2 linked regions of the Danio rerio genome follow. The protein of the gene in region 2 purifies or fractionates together with the protein of the main gene of each other region. This does not show direct contact. Links are inferred from orthologs where the notes say so. Each region holds a gene or a part of one and is shown on either strand. Other genes may lie near its edges.

Evidence for each region.
Region 1: the proteins of mcm4 (region 2) and sf3a1 fractionate together in Homo sapiens (co-fractionation; 3 studies listed by BioGRID, with this or other methods). This does not show direct contact. The link is inferred for Danio rerio from reciprocal best matches to the Homo sapiens genes MCM4 and SF3A1.

Annotation. Positions count from the first base shown.
Region 1 is NC_133183.1:43,422,401-43,426,746, forward strand, and holds the start of sf3a1 (splicing factor 3A subunit 1), read left to right. Parts: upstream 1-1,443; 5' UTR 1,444-1,461; exon of another isoform or gene 1,462-1,465; intron 1,466-1,585; 5' UTR 1,586-1,628; coding exon 1,629-1,676; intron 1,677-3,058; coding exon 3,059-3,168; intron 3,169-3,260; coding exon 3,261-3,453; intron 3,454-3,614; coding exon 3,615-3,872; intron 3,873-4,346. UniProt on the Homo sapiens protein: Component of the 17S U2 SnRNP complex of the spliceosome, a large ribonucleoprotein complex that removes introns from transcribed pre-mRNAs.
Region 2 is NC_133199.1:39,257,385-39,261,038, reverse strand, and holds part of mcm4 (DNA replication licensing factor MCM4), read left to right. Parts: intron 1-369; coding exon 370-497; intron 498-1,070; coding exon 1,071-1,278; intron 1,279-3,654. UniProt on the Homo sapiens protein: Acts as a component of the MCM2-7 complex (MCM complex) which is the replicative helicase essential for 'once per cell cycle' DNA replication initiation and elongation in eukaryotic cells.

The DNA of each region.
Region 1 (4,346 bases), on a different chromosome or scaffold from region 2:
AAGCCAAGAAGAGAGGCACCCAGTAAAAACAGTACTAAAGGAATGTTGGGAATATGGACATAAAAAGATAGATAGTTTTGGTTGGACAGTAAAAGACGAGGCTCAAAATATGGGCATAAGAGACATCAATTTAGCCCCTGCTGTGCCAACCTCTGCGATTCCGCCTTGGCTTTTCCATAAACCAGTAGTCGATTTATTACTACATGAGGAAAAACACAAAAATAATATGTTAAATGAAAAAGAAATACAACAATACATAAATCAGTCATATTTCAATTATTTACAGATATATACAGATGGGTCAAAAGATCCTAAAGATGAAAAAACGGCAGTAGTAGTTTACATCCCAAAATTCAATATTAAAATATCAAAAAGAATAACGGACCGACTTTCTGTGTACACTACAGAAATTGTAGCTATACTTCTTGCTCTTCAGTGGATAGAAGACGTGAAACCATTAAGATCAGTAATATGCTCCGATTCTCTGTCAGTACTAAACAACTTAATTACTGGAACATCTAAGGCAAGACAGGACATAATGAATGAGATAATGCAAAATTTATTCAGAATCAGACAGGGTGGACTTTTTGTAAGCTTCTTGTGGATTCCTGGTCATATGGGAGTAGTAGGTAATGAAGAGGCAGACCAACTTGCAAAGGAAGCATTACAACATACTCAGATAGAAATAAAAATAAAAATAAGTAAGTCAGAGGTAAAAAACATAATTGCAAAAGAAACAGGTAGAATGTGGCAAAGGGAGTGGGATAATGGAGAAAAAGGCAGACATATGCATAATATTCAAGGATGTGTGGGTGGTACTAGAAATAAGTTTAGTAATAGAAGGAATGATGTGGTAATAACTAGGTTGCGTGCTGGTCATTGTTTGCTAAACCAGTATAAGTTCAGAATAGGGAAGCACGAGACAGGATGTTGTGATAAATGCGGGAAAATAGAAACATTAGAACATGTAATTACAGAATGTGTGGCATATGACAATCAGAGATATCAGTTAGTTCAAGGATTAAGTATTTATGGGATTAAAAATTTGTCATTTCAGACCCTATTAGGAAACAGTTCAAATCAAGTTGAAATAATAATGCAATTAATTAATTACTTAAAGGAAACAAAATTGATTAATAGAATTTAAGAATAGCTTAGCAAAATAAGGAAATAAAATTTACTATGATTTTTAACTAGTATTTTTTTTCTTTCTTTCTCTCCTCTCCTCCTACTGTTATTACTGTTCTCTCTTCCCTATGGTAATCTCATCCCTCCATTCGTATCATATATCTTTAGTACTCATGCTTTTTCCAACATTATGCGCTCCACACTCCTATCCAGTAGGTGGCGGAAATGCACCATTTAAGTTGGTCTGCCAACCGCCATTAACCCCATAAGAAGAAGAAGAATTTCATTGGTTGTCCGTTTTGTGTTGTGTGTGTGGCTGCTGGCTAACGAGAGGTAAGTGAGTTATGTAAAACTGCCTTCATAATTTGTATAACTTTAGCCATTCTTGCGACTTTCAGTGTTCATTATTTTATAACGGTTGAGTCTTTAGCTTCAAATAATCTTTCATTTTACACAGTAACGTTTGAATCGGTCCGAGAAGAGCCAGTAGTGTCGCAGTCATGCCGCCTGGGCCTGTGCAGATCATGCAGCCGGAGCTGAATAACAAGGTATGAAGCTTTCAGAATTTATTACTTTCATAGACACGATGGGTAGGTTTATCCGATTTATATTCATCTGCTTACATTTTTCGTCTTTCATAAGTATAATACTGGGCATTATTGCAATTTTATAATTTATTGTTTTGAGTAGAAGCATTACTTGTTTAAAGTTAAACTTTAATGTATATGTTATCTGTTTTGTTATCTTTTGTAGCAGTCATTGTTGTATATATTCCCAGCATAATGTTGTTTTATTATTAGTATAAATATAATATAATATAAAAATATATATTATGTAAATGTACTGTTTTATTTCCCAAAATCGATGTGGTCAAAGACAACCATTTTAAAAGATAACGTAGTAGTGTCTACTTTATTGTTTAGAAAAAAAGGTTAATAAAAATTAAGATCTAAAAATATATATACTTTTGTAAAAAATGACAACAACAACAAAAGTAAACTTACATGTACTTATTAAAATAAGTAAATGATCCTTCTGCATTTTATTGTTTTTTCTTTAAGTAAAAATTTGGATAATAGATAGTTAAATTTGAAATATTTCATTTGCTTATTTTGGGGGCTGCAATGTGATCTTTAAATGTTTTTCTAATGTCATCAAAATATTCTTCAGATGTTAATTGAATAATTATTCTTATTTTTCTTTATAATGAAAAAAATATAAATACACAAATTACTTGTTAGTTTATAAATATACATATATTGTTTTGATTCTTAAATTAAAAATGAATATGCAAATTCTATATACAAATAATATTTAAAAATTAGGGGTGTTTGAATTGAATGTAAATTTATTGATATTTATTGTAAAAACTAATTAGTTTGTAATATAAATTTCAGTTTATTATCAGATTCTGTTTTATTGATGTTGTGAAATGAGAAAGGACAGTTGTGCAATTATAATAAAAAGTAATAATTTTAAGGACCATTTACAGTGAGAAGTGTATTCTGTTGTACAATAGAAACACTTTTGGCTGCAGTAAATCCAATTCGCTTGATTTTTTTCTGTTTATCTGATATGGTATTCTCACATAACATGGTAAAGTTTCTGAGATTGACACCACAAGCATCACCCATGCTTCAATATTTGTGTAGTAAATGAAACTGTGGCATTCATTCAGAAACACGCCTCATAAATATAGACTTTGTATTTAACTTATATTTTAGTGGTCTTAAAATTCTCACACAATAGTACACATCACAACTTCATTTTAAGGACATGATTAGTTTTAATGTATTAATTCAAAGCTTGTAACATTTAATGACATTGTATAATTAATTCCATATTTATGACTGTATTCTGTGATTTTTGTTTGTGTTTTCTGTATTATTTTGCTCATATTAAATAAGCTATGAGATGTTTTAATCAACAGCCCGAAGAACCGAAAGAAGAAACTCCAGCCACAAAGCCCATAGTGGGAATCATCTACCCTCCTCCTGAAGTGCGAAACATCGTTGACAAGACTGCCAGCTTCGTAGCCAGGTTTGACATCCTACCACATATATCATGTAGTGCAGTATTTCATTTGTGTACTTTTATTAAATCAATAATTAATTCCATTTATTTTGTCAAAGGAATGGACCCGAGTTTGAGGCCAGAATTCGACAGAATGAGATCAACAACCCAAAGTTCAACTTCCTCAACCCGAGCGACCCATACCATGCCTACTACCGACACAAGGTCAATGAGTTCAAGGAGGGCAAAGCTCAGGAACCATCCGCAGCCGTTCCTAAAGTCATGCAGCATCCTCAGCAGCTTCCTCAGAAGGTCAGCAACTTCTCTGTGGCTTTATATAAATATTATCAATATTATAGATGTAGACAGATAGTTTTATAATAGTTAAAATCAAGCCATAATCCAGCAGACAGATATAAAAAATTTTAATAGCTTTCTATGTTATAAAGAGCTTATGTTTTGTGATTATTTAGGTCCAAGCACAGGTGATCCATGAGACGGTGGTGCCAAAAGAGCCTCCACCTGAGTTTGAGTTCATTGCTGACCCTCCCTCCATCTCAGCCTTTGACCTGGATGTGGTGAAACTGACCGCACAGTTTGTTGCCCGTAATGGCCGTCAGTTTCTCACACAGCTGATGCAGAAGGAACAGAGGAACTACCAGTTTGACTTTCTCCGGCCACAGCACAGTCTGTTCAACTACTTCACAAAACTAGTGGAGCAGTATACAAAGGTAAATTATACTTTTTAGAAATGCTGAGGGCTTATTGGTTTGCAAAGAGATTAGAGATGTTCAGTATTTTTTCCTCTAATAATATTTTTGATTAATGTTTAAAAAAATGCAAGCTCAATAAATTAGCAAAAAAATTATTAAAACAATTATTCCATTTGTGAAAGCATTTAGAAGATACATTAGGGCTGGGGAAAAAATTGGTGATTTCCATGCACATTTTGTCAATAAAGCAATAAAAGTAAAGTAAGCTACATTCAGCTGGAGCAGCATTTGCCACACATAATTCACTATAAAGCTACACAAAACTTGCAACACTTGATGAATCTGTAGTTGTGTCTTTATTAATTAGTCTGAATTAGCGAAAGCAGTTAAAGTTTCCTTTTTAACACAATACTCTTTGGATTTCTTTTAGTTTCTGTAAGAGCAGCCTCTGGCATTTAGAGGAGATTTATTGCTGATCATGCTGTGCTTTTC
Region 2 (3,654 bases):
TAACATCACCTAAGATTAATAAATGTTTTTGTAGTTATCATTACATGGACTTTAATGAGTCAGAATTCATGAACAAAAGGCCTATAAATAGTCTCAGATTCAGTAAGTCTTACTTTTTGAAAATAACCTAACCAATACTAATACAACAAACTAATACAACATTTTCTTAAAAGGCACTCAAATGTTTAAACAATTAATCATGGTGTTTTGAGGTACCTGTGATATCAATATTGTGCATGTTCATTATCACAATATATCGAATTAATGAATACCGACATGTATCTGAAGGTGCATGAAGGATTGGGTTTGGAATTGCAATGCATTTGTTTGAACTGATGATTAATGCAGGATTGTGTGTGTGTTTCGTAGGCTGGGATTATTTGTCAGCTTAATGCTCGGACCTCCATCCTCGCAGCAGCCAATCCGGTGGAGTCTCAGTGGAACCCCAAAAAGACAACGATAGAGAACATTCAGCTGCCTCACACACTGCTGTCCAGGTACAAATTAAACAACCGTATTTATAGCGGATAATGTATATTAATCATCTGCTGAATATTTAAAACAATGTGTTTTGAAAAATATTAGTTAACATTAATTAGATTAAAAATAAAGTAAAAATGTAATGTTTAATAATTACAGTTTAAAATAGATGTTTTCTTTTAGGATGTATTACATTTTTGTAATGCAAAGTGTTGTGCTGCTTAATATTATTTGGGAACCAACTTCCTAAGTGCAGTGTTTATGTGAAATGCCAATAATTATGTGATAATTTTAATGTTTAAAAGTAAAGAAAAAAAACATTTGGATGATATAATTAAATATTAGTTTTGTCAGTATAGAAGTGTTTAATTTAAATTAGTTGTCAAATTAAATTATAAACTAACTTTAAAGACATTTATTAACAAATAGGGCAAATTTACATAAAAGAACTTAATTTTTTTTTTACTTTTGTGATCTCAAAGATTATTAATTATTCATAATATTAGTTCAACATAAGCTGCTTTTTATTTTAATGTTTTTTTTTCTTCTTTTGTCTAATAATTGTCTCTCTGCATCTGTTTTTTTTCCAGGTTTGATTTGATCTTCCTAATGCTGGACCCTCAGGACGAGGCGTATGACAGGCGTCTGGCGCACCACCTTGTCTCTCTGTATTATCAGAGTGAAGAGCAGATTGAAGAGGAGCATCTGGACATGGCTGTACTGAAAGACTACATCGCCTTCGCTCGCACAACTGTACATCCCAGACTGAGTGAAGAAGCCAGTCAGGCCCTTATTGAGGTATAGAAACACTATAACAGCACAGCATTATATGTTGCCAGCTTTGTTACTTTTAATTTAAGGACGATACTGATATTTCACTGTGATTAGCTGATCTTGATTTATTTTTTAATTGGCCATTTCATATGTCAGATTTCTTTTGCAATCAAATTGTTCGTTGTCTCTTTTATAATTAAAGGGGCTGTATGTAAGTTTTGGACTATTAATACTATAATATCCATAATATTTTTGCAGATATTTCAGAAATATGCGAAGTCAGGGCTCGAAATTGCGACTGTTTTGGTCGCAAATGCGCCCGAGAATAATCTATGCAACCTCATAATATATATGGGAGCATTAGTGCGACTGCAGATAATGGTTGTAGTGTGACCTGTTTAGATTTTTTCTAAAAACGTGCTAAATCGGTCTTCCCTGCCGCTATATTGGTTCATATTAGCTGTCAATCACTCAAGATATTCCGCAGTCAGGTGACAGGGAAGAAGCTTTTATGACCACGGGAAATGCAAACGGCTGAAGAGTGAAAACTTAAAGCACACAGGTTTGCAAACCCCACCTAAAGTTGAGGCGCAGATGAAAGCGATCATGACATGTGGTGAATATTGATCCGCCAGCTGAGATCAATCGACCATGTGCTTTTCGGAGAAGGCGCCCGAATCTCGATGCGTTGCATTCACTGCGTGTTCAGCGCAAATGTCCGCTAAAAGTTAAATCTAATACTGGACATATCATCGCCAAAGAAGCTCGCCTTTACTAAGTTCACACTGAAGCTGCGGCTCATAAACAGTGGTATTGCGCCGATGGTCATCGCAAGAATCCTGCTCTGCCTGCTCATAAATTGGGTCGGTTGACTCGCCTGCTTTTCCACAAACACAGAAAAATGAAGATCAGCTCAGACTGAACCTTTAAATTGACACAAACTGAAACCAAAACTTTTAAAGAGTGATAGAAGTGAGACTTTACTTACTTTGTTTTGTCTATTCTTTCTAGAGGTGTATATTATTTATTTTTTTATTTAGTTACTGATGACTGTTTTGCTGCTTTCAGGCTTGAATTTAATTATTTATTATAATCTTTTGTTTGTTTTATGGCAGAAATATTATTTATTAAACTGACATGCATATATTAACAGCAGTACAAAATAAATATTTCTTACTGCAATGCTTCATTTTTGTTTGATGCAAACTATACATTTATTTCTCATAAAGTAACAGACTTTTTATAGCAGATAACCTGCATTCAAGCACATTCAAGGCAGCATGATGATGAGAACTGTAATTCATTGTTACTATTATCGTCATTTTCATCAACATTAATATTTTATAATTATTCGACATTCATTTTGGAATTATTGCACACAAATATCAATGTCATTTCAGCATTAGTTAGATAGTTGTTTCTGGTTTTTGTTAGTCCTAATTAATGTTGTTTTAAAATACAGTAAATCCCTTAAAATTCAATTTGCAGCGGTGCTCAATCATTGTTGGTGGGTGCTCCTAAATTTTTGATGTCGGGAGCACTGGTGCTACCAAGTAAAAAAGTTAATTTCGAGCCCTGTAAGTGAACTTGCTTGTTTATCTGAAAAAACAATGCTGATGTCAGTTGTTCTACTTTGAAATTGTATGAAGGTCTGTCTTTGTTTTGGTCTGTGTAACTCTGCCTACTGCGATTTTTAGCCATTATATTTTGGCACCCCAGGTTGCCTTGGTTGAAGACTGCCGTCTCAATGTATGCGGGCCTTTAAAATAAGATGTAGATTCTGAGTTATAAAAATTAACATGAGGTAGTTTCAAATTGGCAAACAATAGAAAAATGTTACAAACACAAACATTAGCTGAGAAGCTTATAGTGTAATGCTGGTTCACACCAACTTTAAGCTTCCCGTGAGTAAACTAGAGTGAGTGATGTTTATTTACCTCAAGCTAATTTTCTGCTCGAGTTGAATTATTTGAAGTTGCATAAATATTTTGTTGTTTGTTTTAATCCGTTTTAATCTTGCCATGAAATAGCCAAACATTGCTGATGTGGCAATAAAATAAATAAAAAAAAGACAGGCAAAAACAAGTAAAATATTTGCGCTGCACTGTAGAAATGCTCCTTTTCGATCGCGTTTGCATTGACTTCATATGTAATGTCAATCTACTTGTGTGAATACTTTGACTTTTGGCTCACTCCTGCTGGTCTCAGCAACCTGAGGAGGGGCTGGGTGGGAAAAAAAATCCAATATTTTGAATTTGGACTGCAATACCTAGTTCATCCACTAGATGTCACATACTGCACTTTTAAATAATGATCCTAACAAAGAAATGCTGCGCACATTTAGCATGGGCAGTTCAAATCAATTAGACCTAATATACATGATTATCATGGGACATTTGG